Arabidopsis thaliana: one gene and its partners. The protein of the gene in region 3 purifies or fractionates together with the protein of the main gene of each other region. This does not show direct contact. Each region holds a gene or a part of one and is shown on either strand. Other genes may lie near its edges. The genes, in order: AT1G30630, AT4G34450, AT4G08520 and AT2G34840.

Region 1 (4,515 bases), on a different chromosome or scaffold from region 3:
CTCGGTGAAAGAGTTTGTTGAGGCGTGCAAGAAAGCAACTGGTGTTGAGATCAAGATCGACTATTTGCCTAGACGTGCAGGTGATTACGCTGAGGTTTACAGTGATCCAAGCAAGATTAGGAAGGAACTTAACTGGACAGCTAAGCACACTAATCTCAAAGAGAGTCTTGAGACTGCATGGAGATGGCAGAAGCTGCACCGTAATGGCTATGGCTTAACAACCTCATCGGTCTCGGTTTACTGACTTTGTTCATTCCTTTGGTGATGGACGGAGATTTTGATTCCAGATGGTATTGAGGAGAGAAGCGTAGGAGATGATGATGGTTTATATATAAATATAACACAAGATATATTATCCATATTATGAAAAAATGATATCACATGACGAGATTTTTGATTGATATTCATTTTGTAATGGCTTTAGGTTCTTTTAGGAAGCAGCCATTCATTAGTATATGTACCTCTCACAATATTTATTGATTAGTCTTAATAATATATAGCATTCCTGGCTTTTAATTTGTAAAGCGGAATTTAGATCTAAGCTCCGTGTTGCATACATTAGCGAATGTTTCGTTTTCAAAAGTCTGCCTTTTGTCTCATCAGTTATGGAGATTCTGGATTTCAAGGAACAAGATCTGTAGTTCTGTTGGATTCGAAACTCAATGAAAACAAAAGCTTCAGTGAGAAATCAAAGTAAAATGCAACATATCCAATGGAAAAAACTGTTTATCTATGATAATTTCAAGATAGGGTCGGTAATAATATGATGTTCTTCTGGTAGATCATAAGGCAAATTGATTCCATGGACTTTGAGGTACTTCAGGCGAAAGATTGAAGTGCTCTCTCGAAGTTATCTTCAGCTGATGCTGCTCGCTTCACAAGGACGTGTTCTGGATGTGAAAGTTTCAGCTGGCTGCAAAAGGATTGGAAATGGAGGAATAAGTCAGCTTACTGATGCACTTGTTGTTATGCAGAAAATGCAAAAGGTCATGAATATTTATACTTTAGGTAGCGAGAAGATGATTTCCCGACGTGAAGACTGCATACAACGAGGTTTGCAAGAGTTTCTGGGTCTTTAGCATCCTGCAATGAGAATAAACATCTATGATTTCAAACTTGTCCATTTTATAATAAACGGAATAGTTGAAAAGTTTAGATTTGGTGTAAGGAGTTTTCAAGTATCCTCATAGATTTAAATCGAGTGAGCATTTCCGATGACATGATATTGAGAATGGGTTGTGTCGATACAGATTTAAGGAAAGAAAGAGTAGGTTCATCACTCACCTTGTTGAGTGCTTCAAGTAGTAGAGTCTCAGCTTCTTCAAAATTACCCATATGCATGCAGCAAACTGCTTTGCCGTTCAAGATCAAGCTTGTCATTGGGTACTTCTCAGAGAAATCCTGGAAGATTAGATAAGCTTCCTGTATCTTGGAACCACCCTGAGATCATAAAGAACAATTTCATATTAAGAAACACATTAACAAACTTCTCTACACTATATGGAAAAAAGAAATGGATATTCATATCATACTACTGCCAGATTCAACCACGCGCTCGCGAGCTGAGTGAGTGTGTGGTCTTCATCAATCTGTTGCATCACTCTCAGTTGTTTCTCCGCAAAATCTGATCTGTGCATCTTTATGAATATCTGGACATTCAAAGCATGCCTAAAATATGCAGAAACAACAATCATTTATCGAGTAAACGAAAAGAGATCGCTGTGACAAGACAAAACAAATCGAAAAGCTCACAGATCCATGGTTCCTCCAGAATGAGTGTGCTTCAGAGCCTCATTATAGTCTTCCTCATGCATGAATATAGTACCAGCAATCAACCTGATAATAGCATTGTTTCCTACAGTTGGATCTGCCAACCATTCCCTCAAGCTCGAAATGGTTGATTCCTAACCAAAATCACAGAAACAACTACGTATTCAACAATGCAGATCACTAAAATAAGATCAAGATATATTCAATTCCGGATCTCTGAAGCTAAATCATCAAAAGAATCCTAGAATTCTACTAAAGTTATCTGAAATTCCGCTAAGCAAACGTTACAGAAGATGAATTGAAACATCTCAAAATCTCTTGAATTACCTTGTTTTCAGGACTCGATAGATACATAGCAAGGAGTTTCACTGCCTGTAGAGGAGTAGCAGCGGCTTCATCGATCTCACTGATGACAAGCTACGAAGACGAAATTTGAAAAACGTAAATCAGCAAATGATCAAAACAAATTGAAATCCAAATCGAAAAACACGAGACGGAAGCAAAACCTGGTAACTTCCGAGAGCGATGTAAGCGCGATGGACGAGACAGTCTCGCTCGACGATATCTTCCTGCGAAAGATTAGGGATCTCGCTGTTGTTGATCGCAGCTTGATAAGCACCCAAGTAGAAATGGTTTCTCAAATTGAAGAGATGATCTGGTCCTGCCATGGATGCCATTGTCTTAGCTTCTTCTTCTTCTTCTTCTTCTAGATCTCACAGATCCGTGTCTAACTCCAAAATAAAGAAAACTGAAGTGTGAATAATCAAAACCAAAAAAATATGACGCCTTAAGATGTACATAAAGCCCCATACATTTTGAATGTTACAATTGACACTCATTGTTATCTATTTTAGGCCCAATGGGCTTTTCGATGACCCAATTAGTTCGACACTCTGCTTCTCTTTACACGTCTCCTACATACGGACGGTGACAATCTTGTCTTACCAATAAAACGCGTTTTTATCCAATTCGCGCGGGAGTTGTTCTAATGACGTTAGCAAACCACTCCGTTCAATCGTGCTGTCACGTTATGTCGACAAACAAATCCAACAATTTACTGACACGTGTCATTTAGCTTCCCCAATAAATGACCCGGGAATAGTTAAAAGCCGGTTTACCAGTATTGGTTTTAATCAGCCACCGAGTCATCGTGACTGTAACTTAAACGGCGTTTACTGCTTCAAGATAAAATACGCTTTGCCCAAAAAACGTTATTAGTTCGTAATCCGTTTTTGCTCTCCCTTTTGAGATCTTTTAATTAAAAAAATTCCGTTTTAAGTGAATGCGTGTAAGCAACAGTTCGAATTCGAAGCGAGAGCTAAAATCAAAATCTCTCTGATTTGTTGTTTTGTTGATGTAAGTTTCTTTGATCCTTTCGCGAAATTTGTCATCTTCCCCGATCGAGTTTTACTTTTTCTTTGTGAATAGTTTGACTTTTCGTTTTTCTTCTTCTTCAATCTCGCATGGTGTTTGTGCGTATCTTGTTTGGAATTGGAGTTTGTAACTATTTGATTATAAGCAAGTTTTGATTCGAATGCATGCGTGCAATCCACAATCCAGAACTAGATGTATATGTATCTCTATGTCAAGAGTGATTAAAATCGATTCGTGTGGAATTAACTTGGAAGTGAAAGTTTTAATATTGTTTCCGGAATTTACGGTGAGATTTTAGGTGTTGACCAGCGTTGTTAGACAAGAATTTGTCATCAATTTGATTTAGTTTTGAAGCATTTGGGTTTTGGAATTTTGTTTTGATTTTCTGCAGGTTTTATGAAGTGATTTGCATTAGATTGGATTGAAATGGCTACGGAGCCTACAAGGAGCTGGTTCCAGATACGGCAGCAGAAACCGGATAAATCAAGCCCTACTAAAAAGGGACAAGAGGGAAATGTGAAGAATCTTGGGAGACCTCCTATGAATGATGCACCATCTAATGCTACTAAACAGAAAGTTGCTGCAGCGAAGCAATATATCGAGAATCATTATAAAATTCAGAAGAAGAGTCTCCAGGAAAGAAAAGAGCGGTACGTTCTCGGGATTCTTCTTGTGATGCCAATATTTACTTCTTGTGCTTTAGTTGTTACAAATGGAACTTCAGAGTAGTCTTATTTTCTAGTACTGATGGTTGGGTCTGATTTAGGAATTAATCTGCTACTGGTTTAGATTGAACCTTCTGATATCAGCTCGCTCTTGAATACAGTCGGAGCATCTTGGAACAAAACCTAGCTGATGCTGATGTTACTGTTGAAGACAAGATGGATATATTAAAGAACTTTGAGAAAAAGGAAATGGAGTATATGCGTCTACAAAGACAGAAAATGGGGGTTGATGACTTTGAACTGCTTAGCATCATTGGCCGGGGTGCTTTCGGTGAGGTATATCTCTTTATGTGTTCTTTGTGGTTGCCTCTCTTATTTTTCACTTCCTTTTTGTAAGCTTAGCTAATATCTTGTCTCATCTTTACATATAAAATTTGATGTTGCTTCTTTTTTAGCTCTCTTACTGGCTACCGAAGTACTGATAACTAGCTATTATTCTTTTTCTATGAACCAAAGCTTCTGTTAGTGATTTTACTTGGTGTATTGATTTAATATTATTTCATTTCTGTCCAGGTGAGAATTTGTAAAGAAAAATCTACTGGAAGCGTATATGCAATGAAAAAGTTAAAGAAATCCGAGATGCTTCGACGAGGGCAGGTAATGCACTATCTGATAGCATCTCTCCAAATCAAAGAGTTTAGTTGTG
Region 2 (7,773 bases), about 11 Mb from region 3:
AAGTGTGATACGGTTAGGGTTAGGCGTATCCTTTTGTTACCGTTGTGATAAAATTTCCTTTTTGTTTCTGCTACTCAAATAAGAAAAGGAAACAATCAAAATTTCCTTTTTTCATTGAACAAACGTGTACTTATAAATACACCCCTTCTCTCTTCTTCCTTGAGAAAAGTCTCCATTCTCTCTTCTTCTTCCTGGAAACCTAAACCACGTAAGGATTTGCTCTGAATCTAAATATTGACGTGGAGAAGACGCGATCTTACTAATTCTCCATTCTCTGCTTCAACTTCACCGTAAGATTGAACAAACCTTTACTTATATATACCTCTTCTTTCTTGAGAAATCCAAATTCTCCATTCTCTCTTCTTCTTCCAAACCAAAACCTAATTCTCCATTCTCTGCTTCAACTTCACCGTAAGATTGATCGGTTGATAAAGCGGCTCTTTTTGGTGATTGATCTCTGTTGTGACTACATCTTAGGTCAATTCAGATTGCTTTCATATCAAGTCTCTCCTAATTTCACAAGATCAAAGATCCCGGCCATGGATTCAGTTGTCGACGGCGAAGGAGAACACAAACGACGACTAAGGATGCGAAAGTGGGAAAGAGGGATATAACGAAGACATGGACAATGAAAGCAACGAGCAGTATAGAACCAAATCAATGGATCATGATCTGTGTTTGGTACTAGGTGTTTCCTTGGCGTCGACGAGATCTTTTGAAAATCTTGTGTTTCGTCGATATCACAAGCAAAGGTATTTTCTTTTTTCCTTTTCTATTTTTAATGATTCATTTTTTACTAAATAAAAATTTATTTTTAGATTTTTTTATTAAGTGTTAAAATTTTCAATTTTGTGTAAATTAATTTAAATTTTTAACACTTGTTTTTGTTTTTATTAAAAACTGTTTTTAAACCTATATTTTTATACTACTATTAAAGTTTTAAGGTTTTTCTTATTAAATATTAAATTTTTAAATTTTGTGTAAACTAATTGGATACATCATCCAATCCCCTAAGAGGTGTTCTAGGTTCAATAGATGGTTTACACATCATTTAAATTTTTAACACTTGTTTTTTATATTTATTAAATAAATGTTTTTAAACCTAAATTTTTATACTACTATTAAAATTTGAAGTTTTTTTTTATTAAGTGTTGAATTTTTAAATTTTGTGTAAACTAATTGGATACATCATCCAAACCCCTAAGAGGTGTTCTAGGTTCAATATGGTTTACACATTATTTAAATTTTTAACACTTGTTTTTCTTATATCAAAAATATGTTTTAAACCTTTATTTTTATACTACTATTAAAGTTTTAAGTTTTTTTATTAAGTGTTAAATATTTAAATTTGTGTAAGCTAATTGGATACATCATCCAAACCCCTAAATAGTGTTCTAGTTTCAATATGGTTTACACATTATTTAAAGTTTTAACACTTGTTTTCCTTATATTAAAAAATGTTTTAAACCTATATTTTTCTATTACTATTAAGATCTTAAGTTTTTTTTTTAATTTTGTGTAAACTAATTGGATAAATCTTAACTCCTAAGAGGTTAGGTTCAATATGGTTTACATATAATTTAATTTTTCTTATATTAAAAAATGTTTCTATTTTTATTTTACTATTAAGATTTTAAATTTTTTTTTGTTAAGTGTAAAAAATTAAAATTTTGTGTAAACTAATTGAATATAACATTCAAACCTGTAAGAGGTGTTTATAGGTTCAATATGATTTATATATAATTTAAATAGTTTGCTATTTTGTTTAGAATCAAAATATTTTTAAATGACATGTTGTAATAATTGACCAAAAGAAATTAGTGTGTGATTTTGTTGAAATGCAGAGTACAAAGCCTTAATTTATACCAAGTTATGGTATCTATAACGTATATGAATACCAAAATTTTATTATTTTTAATTGGTGTTGTATTTTATAATTCGAAATAATTAGGGGAACGGGCAAAACCTCTCTGTTCTCTCGCTTATATTTTTTTTAGAGAGAAAGCAAATCAGTTTCAACGATCGGATATTTTCTGGTGTTAGCCGTCCTGACTTTTTGGGCTTTCTGTCCGATATCACCGGCTCTGGTAGCGGTGTTGGTTGGCTCTAGTCCGGCAGCGTCTTGTTCACATAACCGGTGGTTGCTGGCTCTTGGTTTCTCTCGTCGATGTAGATCGATTTTTAATCTGTGTTTTTTTATTTTCATGTTTTGTTTTTAATAATTCTCATCTGAGACATGTTGGTGATAGAGTGAATGCAATCTCGCTTTCTAATGCTTCTTATCCGATCTGTTCTTTTTTAAGTTTTGATTTACAGAAATTTTTGGAGAAATTTGAGAATGATGTTGAAGAAAAGAAGTGGATTCTGTTGTTAATTATCATAGCCTTAAGCTGTTGTATATTTAACATGAGCCTCGATTGCTTTTTATCGGTGAAAAAACAAAAAGATCCATGTTCTATGAGACTATCGACGGTGATTCTTTCACCGAAATCGGTGCTCAGACGGCGAAAATGAAGTCGGTTCGCTTTAGAGTACTCATCTGACACGTATATTAATATATCGACATGTGGTTTGGGATAGAGTCAAACTATAGTTTCTTCTTCTATGAAAGACTCTCTGTTGGCCTATTTGGTCCTAAATCGTTTCTGTAATCGCGGACTTTTCTTTAAGCTTTGACTATCTTGATTAATACAATATTTCTCTTGGGACAAAAAAAAAATAATCTTAGTATTTCTTTAATATTTTTTGTTTGGGTATGGGCTATTGGGCCGCTTCGAAAAGTTCACTTTCTCTATCGATCTCTCACAGTTTCTGAGTTCTCTGACTCAAAAACATATAGTAGAAGAAAACGATTAGAGATCTTCTTCTTTCTCCTGTTGCATCTGAAGATAAAGGAAACAGAAAGCGCGAGATCTGAGTGACGGAGTAATTTCAAAGGGAGGTTTTCGAGATCAGAAATGGCGCAACCCCTCGTGAAGAAAGACGATGATCACGACGATGAGTGTATGTGTTCTCTCTTAATCTCCTTATAATTTTCGAATCAGCTGGTTTTCTGCAAAATGTAGATCCAGATGTTAAGCTTCTAGATCTGTTATCATTCAACAGTCGTGATTGTGATTTGGTTGTGTAGATCTACAATCTCAAGTCCGATTTAGTTTTGTTTACCGCATTCGATCCCGGTGTGAATTGCTTTGCTTATTTCGATTTCTGATTTTTTGTTGGATCAGTGGAGTATTCTCCATTCATGGGAATTGAGAAAGGAGCGGTTCTTCAAGAGGCTAGAGTCTTTAATGACCCTCAGGTTGATCCTAGACGATGCTCCCAGGTCATTACGAAGCTTCTTTATTTGCTTAACCAAGGGGAGTCATTCACCAAGGTCAGTTAATTTTTTTGCTTATACTGATTCGATGTCATGCTTATGGAGAATTGAATTATTGTGTTCTTATCCTCTCGCGATGGTTGTTTGTTTCATATGCAGGTTGAAGCAACGGAAGTTTTCTTTTCAGTTACAAAGCTTTTTCAATCAAAAGACACGGGTTTGAGGAGAATGGTCTACTTGATCATTAAGGAGTTATCTCCATCATCTGATGAGGTCTGTAAATTTTACTCAATTTCAATACGAACATCGTCGCACTTATTGTAGGTATATTTTCTGATAAGTTGTTGGTTTTTTCGCCCATAGGTTATCATCGTAACAAGCTCTCTGATGAAGGATATGAATAGTAAAATTGATATGTATCGAGCAAATGCTATCCGTGTCCTCTGCCGGATAATAGACGGAACCCTTCTCACTCAGATTGAGCGATACTTGAAACAAGCCATTGTGGATAAGAATCCCGTTGTTTCAAGTGCAGCTTTAGTCAGTGGGCTTCACTTGCTCAAGGTACCTTTTACACACCAAAACTATTAGGTAGCTTCTTAATTGTAATGTTATGCTTATATTCGTATATTGCTGTTTTCAGACAAACCCAGAAATTGTTAAAAGATGGAGCAATGAAGTTCAAGAAGGTATTCAATCCAGATCAGCCCTTGTTCAGTTCCATGCCCTAGCTTTGCTCCATCAGGTTAGTTTGTTGCATTATTATCACCGAAGTCGATTGGTCTATGTTTCTACTCTTTGTTTAATTAAACAGCCACTGAGAAGAAGTATCTCGGAAAATGAGAGGTGTTACTATGTGTATTGGACTAGATTCATAAATAATAAGTTTTCTGTAGCAGCATCGTAGCTCTTTACTACGGCCTTTTCCAGCAATTTTAGTTTCTTGTGAGGTTTAATCTGTGTCTGGAGTCTGTCTCAGATACTGCTGATTCTAGCATATGTAACTAATTAGGTTGGTTAGGACAACCTATTTATGTGTCTAAGATGTACGAGTTACCAAATGATATGTATTGCTGCTGTTACGTTGATTTAAAATGACTCCCAACATGATACACTCTCAATCTTTGATCTAATAACTGTCAATCTTTGATCAACTTGATAATCTTTCATCATATTCAGATACGCCAAAATGATCGCTTGGCTGTTAGCAAATTGGTTGGTAGCTTGACCAGGGGATCTGTCCGCTCTCCCTTGGCTCAGTGTCTTTTGATACGTTACACCAGCCAGGTTATTCCTCTCTTCTGTTTGATCATTTGATAAGTGGCTGATTGTATATGTGTTATTTAGCTCTGGTTTCTAATATTCAGGTTATCCGTGACATGGCCAACCACGGTCAATCTGGAGAACGTCCGTTCTATGAATTTTTGGAGAGTTGCCTGCGCCATAAGGCAGAAATGGTGATCCTTGAGGCTGCCAGGGCAATTACTGAGCTTGATGGTGTGACAAGCCGAGAACTGACTCCAGCAATCACTGTTCTTCAGCTCTTTTTGAGTTCCCCCAGACCAGTGTTGAGATTTGCCGCTGTCCGGACTCTGAACAAGGTTTGCAATGCTTTCAACTGTTCTCTTTGTACATTGACACCGAAATGATGTTTTACTATTCTGGGTAGATTCATCATTACCTTTATCATGAGGATGAGGAGATATTTCACTGTATACTAAACACAAGTTTGAACCACAGGTTGCAATGACTCATCCTATGGCTGTCACCAACTGCAACATTGATATGGAGAGTTTAATCTCTGATCAAAATAGAAGCATTGCTACACTCGCAATAACCACACTATTGAAAACAGGGAACGAATCAAGTGTAGAACGTTTGATGAAGCAGATAACTAATTTTATGTCAGATATTGCTGATGAGTTCAAAATTGTGGTCGTGGACGCAATAAGATCGTTGTGTGTGAAATTCCCACTGAAATACAGATCCTTGTAAGTAAAGTTTTAGGGTTTGTTATTTGTAGTTTTGGTCTCGAGCATTTCTATTTTTTTGAATGATTAAATATGTTATGGTATCTTTTTAGCATTTGGCTTATGATTGATCTATCACCTTTTCATTTGTAGGATGACCTTCTTAAGCAACATTCTTAGGGAAGAAGGTGGATTTGAGTATAAAAGAGCAATAGTAGATTCTATTGTGACCATTATCAGAGATATTCCGGATGCAAAGGAAAGTGGACTGCTTCATCTATGTGAATTCATTGAAGATTGTGAATTCACATATCTTTCAACACAGGTAATTATTCCATCATCCATCTGGGGTTGCTATTAAAAACTTATGTGTTATTGAAATGTTTATTCTCGCACAGATCCTTCATTTTCTGGGAATTGAGGGGCCTAACACCTCAGATCCAAGCAAGTATATACGATATATATATAATCGTGTGCATCTAGAAAACGCCACTGTCCGGGCTGCTGCTGTTTCCACACTTGCAAAGTTTGGGTTTATGGTTGAATCCTTGAAGGTATAGTCATCATAACAACCATTATTTTTATTTTCCGTTTATCTTCTTTGACTGATGATAATGCTCGACAGCCCCGGATTACTGTTCTATTGAAGCGTTGCATCTATGACAGTGATGATGAGGTGCGTTCCTAGTCTTAGTCTAGAAAAGCATTGCTGTTTCTGTATGTCTGTTTGTTTTGAGTCGTTGCATCATCAAACATGCATGCATGTGTTTGCCTCTGTAAACATTTTCGGATGCATGCAATGCAAGTTGTTTGATGATTCCTTCCTTGCTCATGAGTCAGACATCTTTTTATCTTAAGGTCCGTGATAGGGCAACACTATATTTGAGTGTTCTTGGTGGTGATGGTACTGTTGACACTGATAAAGAGAGCAAGGATTTCCTATTTGGTTCCCTGGAGGTTCCTCTAGTCAACATGGAAACTAGTCTGAAGAATTATGTGAGTTAATCTATTTCTCGGTTTTCTCCTTTTCAATATTCTTAGGACATCAGTTATCTTATATCTGGGATTCCTGCAGGAGCCCTCTGAAGAAGCTTTTGATATCAACTCCGTACCTAAGGAAGTTAAATCTCAGCCCCTTGCAGAGAAGAAAGCCCAGGGTAAAAAGCCCACTGGTCTTGGTGCACCACCAGCTGCACCTGCTTCTGGTTTTGATGGCTATGAAAGACTTCTCTCATCCATTCCAGAGTTTGCCGCCTTTGGAAAACTTTTCAAGGTTAGGGGCTGATTTGTCTTCTGTGTTATTCTAATGTTAATGGCTTATCTTGTTTGCTTTAACTTGTACTTTCTTTTTCAGTCTTCTTTACCTGTGGAGCTAACTGAAGCAGAAACAGAATACGCTGTCAATGTTGTTAAGCATATCTTTGACAGTCATGTGGTGTTTCAGTACAACTGCACTAACACAATACCAGAGCAGTTGTTGGAGAGGGTACTGAACATTGGTGTAGAATATTAGTGTCAAGCATATCTTATCTTTCTTTCCTCATTTAATTAATTTGGCATGGGGTTGTAGGTCAATGTCATTGTAGATGCTTCAGAAGCTGAGGAATTCAGTGAAGTAACTTCAAAGGCCCTAAACTCACTTCCTTACGATTCACCCGGTCAAGCCTTTGTGGTTTTTGAGAAGCCAGCTGGGGTCCCTGCTGTTGGAAAGTTCTCCAACACATTGACTTTCGTTGTTAAGGAGGTACATGTTAAATAGGCTATTCACTTCCATCTTTTTATTTACTTACACTGAAAATGACCCCATAATACTTTGTGGAGAACTCTTATAAACAACGACTCATTTGGAGAGGAGTACCAGAACGACTCAAATTAATCACAGAAAACAAAGAAAACTCTCTAACTACATTGTTTGTGCTTTTATGAATGTGTTAAAACAGGTTGACCCAAGCACAGGTGAAGCAGAAGATGATGGAGTAGAAGATGAGTACCAGCTAGAGGATCTTGAGGTTGTAGCTGGAGATTACATGGTGAAAGTGGGTGTCTCCAATTTCAGGAATGCGTGGGAAAGCATGGATGAAGAAGATGAGCGTGTAGACGAATATGGCCTTGGCCAAAGAGAGAGTTTGGGAGAAGCTGTAAAGGCTGTCATGGATCTTCTTGGCATGCAGACTTGTGAGGTTAGTCTCTTCCACTTTTTTCTCATACTCTACTGAGACTTGAGGGCTAAAATTATTGTTGATAAAGTCTTTTTTGAGTATATGACCATTTGTTGTGTTCCTGAAATTGAAACTGACACTGGATAAATAACAGGGGACGGAGACAATTCCGCTCAATGCAAGGTCACACACGTGTCTATTGTCAGGTGTGTACATAGGCAACGTGAAAGTGTTAGTGAGGGCACAGTTTGGAATGGACAGCTCAAAGGACATTGCAATGAAGCTGACAGTTAGAGCTGAAGACGTTTCTGTCGCCGAGGCCATT
Region 3 (5,735 bases):
AGATAGCTAAGAGATTTTGACCCAAAAAAATAAAAGATAGCTAAAGACTAAGAGATATGGCAAAAAATTTGTGAGCAAATATAAATTGGAGATTACTTTACTAGAACCAATTATAAAAAAGGTGTAGCACAAACTTTTCATATAAGAAGTAGGGCCGGGCAAAATATTTGTTCGATCAGTTTCGATTCGATATTCAATTTAATTCGATTCAAAAAATCCGAATATCCGTAAGATTTAAAACCAAAACAAATAGAAAAATAAAGTATTCATAAAAATCGAAGCAAATAATAAATATTATTTTTTTAAAAATCGAATATCCGCTTCTATTACGACATTCGCACTTTACGGGACTTTCTATAACTTGCATCCGCATTGATCTAAGTTGATAGACCATATTGTAAAACATTCTTTATACGATTCTCAATGTGCGTTTTTTTTTATAGAAATTCGGATTGCATCTCTCAGATTTTGGTCTTTCCTTAACCAATTTCGAACCACTGTCAACTGCTTTCTTCAGATGGATTGACGTCTAAACGGTAAACCGTTCTTTATTTCCACTTTGATTGGGCCACTGAACGACTTAGCTTATGAGAGATTTCCCATCTTAAATCGCAACACTTAAGATCAACCGTCTTAGATATGTAAAGCAATCAATCACTAGTGCAATGTTGATCCTCACATTTAAAAAGATGGTTCCGCAAGAACAGGCGAATAAAAGATCTAAGTTCCACCAAAAAACCATAAGAAAACAAAGTCATGAGATAGTTAAGTCAATAGGGGTTGATTTCTAGTGAACGGGTAACCATTTCAGATATGGTTGGTTACAAGGGCTTATGAATATATCATTTCGCTCCCACGATGAAAATTTATGTAAGAAGACTTCTCGCAAGGTGCTCCCGAGCTGTTGCCAATGCTTGAGTTAATGTCTACAATACAAAATCCAAAAAATGGTCAACCGCATGATTGATATAAAGATTATCGCTTTGCTCGAAGGTAGTTTAGTAGTAGTCATATTGCGTCTCACCTGTTCAGAGAGTGAACCACTTGCTTCTGCGCTTTGCATTGCTACTTTCCCCGCAATAACATTCGCGTCTGTTTCAAGTACCATCCTGAACAAGTTTCATAAGACAATACAAAGATGAGTATCACAGTGATAGGGATTCAAAACAGTTAAACTTCTTTATCTAGTTACTAAAGAATTACACTTTCGAGAGACTTCATTAGCGAGAAAAGTCTCTACACTCTCAACCAATGCCCAAACCAAAACCCTCAACAAATCCAAAATGCCCCTAATGAATTCTCTAAGCTGTCTTTTAAGTCTTCAGCTATCAACTAACGGACGTAAGGTCTGTTCCTGAATTGGCAAAGCTACATATCCCATAACCCCCCCTTAGGCTAGTTGCAAATATTCTGCACTAGACTTAACAAGAACGCTTCAACACACGGCCAGAAGTTGTTCATCAATGATCAAACAATAAGTTCTCATAGTATCTAAGTACCAGATCTCACTATGTCCGTATTTAGCTCAACTCCATCAGCATATTAGAAAGCTAATTGTTAAGATATGAAGAGCAAGCTAAACTCAGCAATCTTTTAACTCTACACACCCATGTTTAAGAGTTGCAATAGATTTCCGAACTCAGTAATCTTTTAACTCTTGTGCAAGGCTAAAATGATAGATTTCCGAATTTAACATAGTAAAAAAATCGTAGAATAGTATTTGAAAGCATATGTAGCATACCCTTGATCAACCATCTCATCAAGGCACAAAAAGATGAGATCCAAGTTTTCAAGGGCTTCCATCTTTTCAACATTGTTCCTGTAAGGAGAAAGGATGTTCAACTTTAATTTCGTATATCACTGATCAAGAAAGGCACATAGTCATTTGTTAAGGTGGGTTAAATACCTCAGAAGTAACGCAACAGCATCAAAAAAGCCTTGAAGAACAGATGATAAGACGAGCTCGTTTTCATTTTCACCTCCAGTAACAAAGAAATGCAGGTCCTGGGCAAACTTATAGACAACAATATTACTCTCCAACAGTGTGATCTCAGCTGCAAAAAGTAAACATAAAAAAAAAAAATTATACACACCTACAAGTTGTTTGAAACAGGAAATATGCACATATGTAATCAGGAAACCCAATAGACAGCCAACAAGTAAAATATAATCTGAAGCTTTCATACTCCTATGATACAACAAACAGAGAACTACATATATAAATACTGTACATGTGTTGAAGTTTCAATTTGATCTTACCTTCTGTGCGAGCATTGGTCTTGGAGGTTTTCGAGAAGACATATTTTTCAAAAGCTAACTTGGAAGCATTAGTTGCCCAATCATCGGAGTAATACTTGACAGCCACACGCTTTCCTTCAGAGTCTAGAAGAAGAATGTTCTTTACCAAAGGACAAGAATCCTATTCATTGTAGACCAGATAGTCAGCATGTAAGTACTAAGAGAGAGAAGCACAAGCAGAAGCGAGAATCCTTAAAATGGATCATGTAAGTTTGAACTTCTACAACAGCAAAGTAGATAAAGATCACCAGTCCAACTATCACCAATCATATGGACAATTACACAGGGTCCAAAGCCTAAGTTTCTTGAGTATTTGTTGCCACCAATCAAACTAAAAAGCTAAATCAGCTACTCAATACTCATCATCTATGGCTTGACCAGATAGGCCAATCAAACCTATGGTGCTAAATGCTAATACATAAATTTGCTAAAAACACTTAGGACAAAAGATAATACAAGCTTTAGTTAAATTCAACCTGGCCAACAAAAGGACATACAAAAACATGACACACCAGACAAATGGCAGCTCCAACAGATAGAATCCAAATTATTTTGCATCAACAAACAAATGATGATATTGCACAAAAGCAGATTCATAAGCAATTGGAATTTTCTCAGCAGCAAAAGAACGTTTACAAAAATCTACCAGAACTTATGTTACTTAGACAGTAACAAAGCCTAATTATGCTTCCAGATTGAAAGATGCAAACAATCTTAGAACAATAGGGGCATGAACCTAAGATTCGTCACACCTTCTGAAAACATACTTACCCACTCAACAAACAAAACAAGAAAAAATCAATCTTAACATAGTGATCTTATACACAAACAGAGGAGATTATATTACACCACAATGCAAAGAATCTCATAAGTGTAACAAACCATAAAGCATCACAAGACTATTTACAGACAACAATATAATGATTCTTAACAGTATACAATGAGCTTAGAGATGTACTTACATTAGTCCCTGCCATTGTTTTTGATTCAAAATATACCTGAAAATAGTGATAAATTAAGTGTTATAACCACACACTACAAACACACAGAACAAAAACTGAGAAATCTATCTAATACATTTAGTCTAAGAAACAAAACTAGCACTGAATACACCAAGATCTAAGAAGAGAGTACTAGATCATCAGGGAAGATCTTAAAATTAAGGTTTCTACATAACCTCTAAGTCAAATTTCGATTCTCAATCTGAAAAACTTAACGATCAGATCTCTTACTGAAGCTATGAGAATGATAGATCATAATGGCAAATTGAAAACAATTAAAAACTTAGAAATCTACAGAGCCAAACAAAAATCTCATCAAAACTGTGAACGATAACAGAAAATATTTTATTCAGATCTCTAGAGAATGTCAATGGATCTTTCATCGATCTGACGAAATTAGAACGTAAATCATACGAATCTCGATAGGGATGAAGAAGCAATCAAACGGAGAAGACAAACTCGAGAAACTTTTACCTTTGAGATGGCTTTTTGAGCTGAAGAAGATGAGAGCTTGCGACGATGGTATGGAACTAACTGTTAAAGAAGACGCGAAGGTCTGATTATATTTTAGAATGAGTAGTCGGGATTCGGGAATATTGCAAATTAAACCCCAACATTTGAAATTATACAAACAAACCCAACATTTGAAAATCAGGAAACTCAAACTTAATTGTATAGTCTCCCGTTTACGCAAAATTAAATTAATAATAATATAACAAAATATGGTAAATTTCTCAGATAAATTCATCAAGGAGTATTTTGTAATTAATGTGTAGTTGGAAAAACAATATAATACTAAAATTTCAAAAAATAAAGATAATTATGTGAAAAGTTGTCTCTAACAAAAAAATGGAAAAACTTGTATATTTATATGAGAAGGATTGTAAATATTTTCGAAGATAAATTATAAATTACTTCTTCACCTCAAAATTTACTTGTTGAGGTCGTAAAGTCCGGATACATTGAGTTTGTAGAAATTCTACTTCGTTCGTGTCTCGACCTGCTATTGGAAGTTGATGATAACAATCAAAATCTATTTCATATTACTGCTTCAAATCGCCATGCAAACATTTTCAACAAAAATTATGATCCCCGAGCTAGGTAGGATTTGATAGTTTTGTATAAAGGCCCACTCCAAAATAATATTTTCCTTGTAAATGTTTACCATCTTCGGATCGGTTACAACAACACTTCAGATGCAAAGAGAACTACTATGGTCCGAGGTACAAAAAGCACAATTTATATGAAAAAGATTGTATAAATTTTAGTTCATATATTTAATTTTTTATATATTTTTTAAGTTTCAGATTTTAATAATAATTTAGGAAAGAATAATTTTCCAAATATAGAATAAATCTTTATATAAAGATACCTAAAAATGTTGAAATATGATAACTTGTCTCTAACAAAAAATCGAAAAATTGGCATATCCTTAAAATATGTAATAAAATTAAAATTAGATCTAAGAGATGGGAGGTATACATTTTATTTCACTTTTGAAATATTTTTTTTGTTAAATACTAATTTTGGAACCTTTGGTAGACAGTTATACCATAATCATTTATAGATAAGAATGGAAATTATATTTGTGCCATCTATGCACTAAATATTATAATCGCCATTAACTTGAGAGTCTTGACCAGAGTCCTTGCAATATTAAGAAAGTTCAGTTCAAATAACAGACACATAATTTGTTGTGGAGAATCATAAAACTAATTCATTCATACCTCAAGTGCTTTATCAAAATCATCTAGCTTATTGATCCAGAGTGCTTCTGGCTTTCAGAGTTGATAGTACCCAGTCTTTTATTCACGTAATCTAATTATGCCTTTAATGCATCTATTTTGAAGGATCTCTAATCATCGAGATAAGATCCTCTGGGACGTAGTCATAGCTTCTTGATGAGTTCACTGTCTTGCCATATTTTTAAAAACCATTCTTTTCCAAGACCACATCAAGATCGGGACTGATGTTTATTTCTCCATTGAGAACTCTTTGGACAATTGCTAATTTGGACTCTAACTTATTCCGCTCAAAAGTTAAAATATCCACCATATAATCATGTGTATTAGGAGTAAGATTAGTTACTAAAACAAGACCATTGCCTTAATAACTAAAACAAGACCCATAGTGTCTGATTTACATACCTTCCTTTCACCACACCATTTTAGCCTCTCTTCCTTAAAATCTTGAAGGACCAAAAAACTGATATTAATATTAATTAAGTGATAACTAATTATTTATAGAGAGGAAACAAAACAATGAAAAATGGGCTATTCTTACTCTGCTCGGGAGATTCATATTTTGTGTGGACATTAGTTTTGTTCAACAAACGCATGTTGTTGGTCCTAATGGTTGTGGATAGTCTCAAAATTCCAAGACATCCTCTTCGATTTTTTCATCATTATTCAGAAAAAGCTTCATCTGCTCTTCAGT
Region 4 (4,389 bases), on a different chromosome or scaffold from region 3:
ACACCAATCTTCAAGAAAGTTTAAAGATGGCATGGAGATGGCAAAAGCTTCATCGCAGTGGCTATGGATCTTCTTCCTTGGTTTCTGCATACTGACCATTATGCATTAGGTATGTGAGCATTGCCCTTCAAGGACTCCTTCATTAGAGTCTTGATTCTAGATGGTAGTGAAGGTAGTAGAAGAAGATGGATTTATTCTTAGTAGAATAGTATTCATCTTATCCATATATAGAGATTATATATGAGATTATTGATTAATAAAATATCATCCATGTCAATCACCTATTTTATTGTGATTGAGGTTTATCAAAATCCTAACGGAAGACATATGTCGCTTCTTTGTGTAAAAAGTGAAAATCATTGGTTGGAAAAAAATTGAAGTATTTCCAAGTGAGAAGCTTTTGTTTGTTTTGGTATTTCTAGTTTGGATTCAAACGATCGGTTGAATTCACTCAAGGTTTCGGGTTGAGTTACACGATCTGGATTGGTTAGGTTCGAAATTAAGTAAATGACAAACGGAATTGAGAGTGCGAGAGGTGGAATTTGATATTTTCAAGTAATGAAATGTAACTTAACATATCTAATGGCAAAAGCTGGTTCATATACTGGTTTCGAAAAGACAAGACAGTATGGTTGTTCTGGTAGATTTACCAACCCGGTGAAAATATGCGGTAAAGCAAACAAATCCTGCACGTCTTTTAGCTTGAACCATGGAAGAGTCTTTAGGCGACCAATTGAACTGCTCTCTCGAAGTTATCTTCAGCTGATGATACACGCTTCACAAGTATGTGTTCCGGGTGTGAAAGTTTTAGCTGGCTGCAAGAAGGATAGGTGATACAAATGAAGTTAACAAACGAGACCGACCAATGTTTTTATTAGGATTAAGGACACAGTTACTCTCGATTAACTTTTCAGTGAGTTCTACTGATTGATTGGGCAAATGATGCCTAATATAAGAGTAGATAATGAAAATTTACCTTAGGTGGCGTGAAGAAGACTTCCCGACATGAAGACTGCACACAACAAGATTTGCAAGAGTTTCTGGATCTTTAGCATCCTGCAATCACCACAAATTAGTATAAACACACTTCCCCATATACAGAAAAGCCAAGAGACAAGTGCAGTGTGAGAAATTTAGAGAGGTCCCTAGTTTCATATTGTTCCCGAGAATGCTAATGTACAGAGCAAATTTAAGGTACACAAGCCTAATTTGTAGTTACCTTGTTGAGTGCTTCAAGAAGTAGTGTTTCAGCTTCATCGAAGTTACCCATTTGCATACAGCAAACAGCTTTGCCATTCAAGATCAAGCATGTCATTGGGTACTTCTCAGAAAAATCCTCGAAAATGAGATAAGCTTCCTGTATCTTCGAACCGCCCTGAAATCAAATAACGCCTTAGCATAAGAAGCAAATACACAACTCTTTGAAAGAATAAGCCAGAACACATTGAATATTTCGCATTATACCACTGCCAGGTTCAACCAAGCGCTAGCAAGTTGAGTGAGAGTGTGGTCTTCATCAATCTGTTGCATCACTCTAAGCTGCTTCTCAGCATACTCTGCTCTATGCATCTTAATGAATATCTGAACATTCAAGGCATACCTAGAAAAACAATAGCAATGAGCCATCTAAGAACATGTTTTAAAACACAGTATAAATACTCAATCCACCAAATAAAAATCGAAAAAATCTTACAAATCCATAGTTCCTCCAGCATGAGTATGCTTCAAAGTTTCATTATAATCTTCTTCATGCATGAAAATAATACCAGCAATCAATCGTAATGTATCATTGTTTCCTATTGTTGAATCTGCTAACCATTCCTTCAAGCTTGAAATTGTTGATTCCTGAACCAATAACAATCGTTCCATATAAGCATTTGAATCTCTTTACAACATGTTTCGTGAACACGAATCAAAGCCGTAATTACCTTATTTTGAGGAGTCGATAGATACATAGCGAGGAGTTTGACTGCTTGTAGTGGAGTAGCGGCTGATTCATCGATCTCACTGATAACAAGCTTATACACACCAAAATTTGGAAGAACAGATCAAAACAAAACGTAATCGAATCTAAAGAAGAAGACATTATCGATATGATTAGAGAAGTAACCTGATAGCTACCGAGGGCGATGTAAGATCGGAAGACGAGACAGTCACGTTCCACGGCGTTTTCCGGCGAGAGGTTGGCGATCTCGCTGTTGTTGATCGCCGTTTGATAAGCTCCCAAATAGAAATTGTTTCTGAGGTTGAAGAGGTGATCTGGTCCTGCTCCCATGGCTGACATTGCTTCTTCTTCTTCTTCTTCTTCTTCTTCTTCTTCTTCTTCTTCTTCTTCTTCTTCTTCTTCTTCTTCTTCTTCTTCTTCTAGATTTCACAGCTTCGCGTCTAATTCCAAAATCCAAACGAAAGTAAACGGGTTAATAACATAATAACCCCTTAAGTTATAAACTGAATGCATAATAATCCCAGTTCTTTTTGAACTGTTCAAGTAACATCACTAATTTGATTTGGGCCTTGTGCGGCAAAATAACGAATCAGGTTCTTTGTTTGACTCCTGGGCTTTATATCTAGTTGTGTGTTGTGAGCTTTTGGTCAGTCTATGTTTTAAAATCAGAAACGTGAACAAGTTTTTTTTATATATTAAGCATATCACACACTACTCGAAATAGTATTAGACGACAGACATGGTTGAATTAGTGTACTAGATGTCTACATTTGGTAGTGTTCAAAAAAAAAAAAGATGTCAACATTTGGTTGAACGAGCTATTCTTAATTAAAAGAAAATCAATAAATTCATATTTGTTATTATCAGAATGTGTTAGGTTAGTTTTATCGGTCTAGATGATTTTGTATTACGGTGATGTTAATCGGTTGAATAGTCATTGTATATATACTTGTACAAAATACATTTACGGAAATTTAATCAGAAAATATCTTCTTCTTCATCTGTAACAAACTTTCTTATCTCTCGATCGTAATATGGTATTAGAGCCATCAAAGCTCAAATTTCTTCATAAATCATCTCATGTCGATCTAAGAAGCAACATGTTATTTCTAGATACTGAGCATTAGCTCTTGCTACTTGTGAGTTGGTTTGGTTGCATACATTGCTCGTATCTTAAACGGATACTACTTCGATTCTTATCTTGTTTTCAGACAGTACAGATGTTATCTATATTGCAATCAATTATATCTTCCATGAGAGCACGAAATATATTGAGATTGACTGCCATACCGTGCGTGACAAGTTGGATGATGGTGAGCTTAAACTGCTTCATGTTCCCACGGATGATCAAATAGCTGATATTTTGCTAAACATTTGTTCTCACATCAGTTTGAACATCTAAAGTCCAAGATGAGCATTCTCAACATTTTCGAATCCTCATATTGAGGGGTCATATCAGAGAGTGTTGATTTAATTTATCGGTTTAATTGATTTTGTATTACGCGGGTTATATTAACCGGTTGTATTGTCATCGTATATATACTTGTACAAAATACATTTACAGAAATTTAAGGGGAAAATATCTTCTTCTTCATCTGTAACAAACTTTCTCATCTCTCAATCGTAATAATTATATATAGGATATAGTTAAATAAACATAGTTCAAATTTAAATCATGTTATAATATACATATAAGAGTATGACTGTTGTTTTTGTATGAACTTGAGGAACACTTAAAGGGCATGGTCGATTTTACGTAAAGTCAATATTCATTTCACATGTTCAAAGAAGTCCTCGTGCTACACAACCCAATTAATAACATAAATCAATACTATAGTTTATCAAAAAATATCAACCTCTAAAGTCTAAATGTTCTATCAATTTGTGTACTTGTGATTCGTGCAATTCTCTGTGTAATGGGTTTAGGCTCGCTTTTAGCTGAATTAGAATAATTAATGAGTTATGGTTATCAGACATTAATTACATGCACCTTTTAAATGTAAAATGCATCTTCTTGGAATAAGCTCCTCTAGTTTGGTTCTTACTTTATGCAAATTTTGTTTTAATGAATCTCTTTTCTCAAGTAATCTATAATAAGTTTACTATTTGTAATCCCTAATAATCCAAAGGCCTTCTCACTTCTAAAAGTTATCATCATATGCATCTTTTAAATAGCATTGATGTGTCTAATCATACGTTACCAATCTAAACACACATATTCCGTGGTTAATCAGATTTATCTTTCTTTGTCAATTTAAATTCTTATATTGTTTTAAATATATCTGACTGGATAACAGATATTAAATATTACTATTTTTATAGAATCCGTTCATCAACATGCGTCACCGTAGAACGAGGGATGCATGACTTATTTTGTTTTAATTTTTGCACCGTATGGTCTAATTATTGTAGTAAACAATATATAAGTTCATGCCGTTTCATAT

The links.
Region 1: the proteins of AT4G08520 (region 3) and AT1G30630 fractionate together in Arabidopsis thaliana (co-fractionation; one large-scale study listed by BioGRID). This does not show direct contact.
Region 2: the proteins of AT4G08520 (region 3) and AT4G34450 fractionate together in Arabidopsis thaliana (co-fractionation; one large-scale study listed by BioGRID). This does not show direct contact.
Region 4: the proteins of AT4G08520 (region 3) and AT2G34840 fractionate together in Arabidopsis thaliana (co-fractionation; one large-scale study listed by BioGRID). This does not show direct contact.

The regions. Positions count from the first base shown.
Region 1 is NC_003070.9:10,857,727-10,862,241, forward strand, and holds AT1G30630 (Coatomer epsilon subunit), read right to left. Parts: upstream 2,597-4,515; 5' UTR 2,448-2,596; coding exon 2,277-2,447; intron 2,188-2,276; coding exon 2,098-2,187; intron 1,905-2,097; coding exon 1,753-1,904; intron 1,669-1,752; coding exon 1,533-1,668; intron 1,441-1,532; coding exon 1,285-1,440; intron 1,084-1,284; coding exon 1,004-1,083; intron 914-1,003; coding exon 820-913; 3' UTR 506-819; downstream 1-505. Other genes in the region: MUR4 (NAD(P)-binding Rossmann-fold superfamily protein), read left to right, coding at 1-244; AT1G30640 (Protein kinase family protein), read left to right, coding at 3,571-3,794, 3,971-4,145, 4,383-4,466. UniProt on the Arabidopsis thaliana protein: The coatomer is a cytosolic protein complex that binds to dilysine motifs and reversibly associates with Golgi non-clathrin-coated vesicles, which further mediate biosynthetic protein transport from the ER, via the Golgi up to the trans Golgi network.
Region 2 is NC_003075.7:16,468,999-16,476,771, forward strand, and holds the start of AT4G34450 (coatomer gamma-2 subunit, putative / gamma-2 coat protein, putative / gamma-2 COP), read left to right. Parts: upstream 1-1,737; 5' UTR 1,738-2,957; coding exon 2,958-3,003; intron 3,004-3,227; coding exon 3,228-3,376; intron 3,377-3,478; coding exon 3,479-3,592; intron 3,593-3,682; coding exon 3,683-3,883; intron 3,884-3,962; coding exon 3,963-4,064; intron 4,065-4,498; coding exon 4,499-4,606; intron 4,607-4,686; coding exon 4,687-4,920; intron 4,921-5,059; coding exon 5,060-5,310; intron 5,311-5,442; coding exon 5,443-5,614; intron 5,615-5,687; coding exon 5,688-5,843; intron 5,844-5,914; coding exon 5,915-5,965; intron 5,966-6,147; coding exon 6,148-6,285; intron 6,286-6,364; coding exon 6,365-6,562; intron 6,563-6,643; coding exon 6,644-6,775; intron 6,776-6,859; coding exon 6,860-7,033; intron 7,034-7,229; coding exon 7,230-7,469; intron 7,470-7,602; coding exon 7,603-7,773. UniProt on the Arabidopsis thaliana protein: The coatomer is a cytosolic protein complex that binds to dilysine motifs and reversibly associates with Golgi non-clathrin-coated vesicles, which further mediate biosynthetic protein transport from the ER, via the Golgi up to the trans Golgi network.
Region 3 is NC_003075.7:5,415,427-5,421,161, reverse strand, and holds AT4G08520 (SNARE-like superfamily protein), read right to left. Parts: upstream 3,954-5,735; 5' UTR 3,774-3,953; intron 3,297-3,773; 5' UTR 3,276-3,296; coding exon 3,261-3,275; intron 2,420-3,260; coding exon 2,260-2,419; intron 2,055-2,259; coding exon 1,907-2,054; intron 1,820-1,906; coding exon 1,742-1,819; intron 1,110-1,741; coding exon 1,025-1,109; intron 927-1,024; coding exon 867-926; 3' UTR 523-866; downstream 1-522. UniProt on the Arabidopsis thaliana protein: The coatomer is a cytosolic protein complex that binds to dilysine motifs and reversibly associates with Golgi non-clathrin-coated vesicles, which further mediate biosynthetic protein transport from the ER, via the Golgi up to the trans Golgi network.
Region 4 is NC_003071.7:14,700,498-14,704,886, reverse strand, and holds AT2G34840 (Coatomer epsilon subunit), read right to left. Parts: upstream 2,400-4,389; 5' UTR 2,285-2,399; coding exon 2,111-2,284; exon of another isoform or gene 2,019-2,110; coding exon 1,929-2,018; intron 1,846-1,928; coding exon 1,694-1,845; intron 1,601-1,693; coding exon 1,465-1,600; intron 1,376-1,464; coding exon 1,220-1,375; intron 1,057-1,219; coding exon 977-1,056; intron 816-976; coding exon 722-815; 3' UTR 516-721; downstream 1-515. Other genes in the region: MEE25 (NAD(P)-binding Rossmann-fold superfamily protein), read left to right, coding at 1-95. UniProt on the Arabidopsis thaliana protein: The coatomer is a cytosolic protein complex that binds to dilysine motifs and reversibly associates with Golgi non-clathrin-coated vesicles, which further mediate biosynthetic protein transport from the ER, via the Golgi up to the trans Golgi network.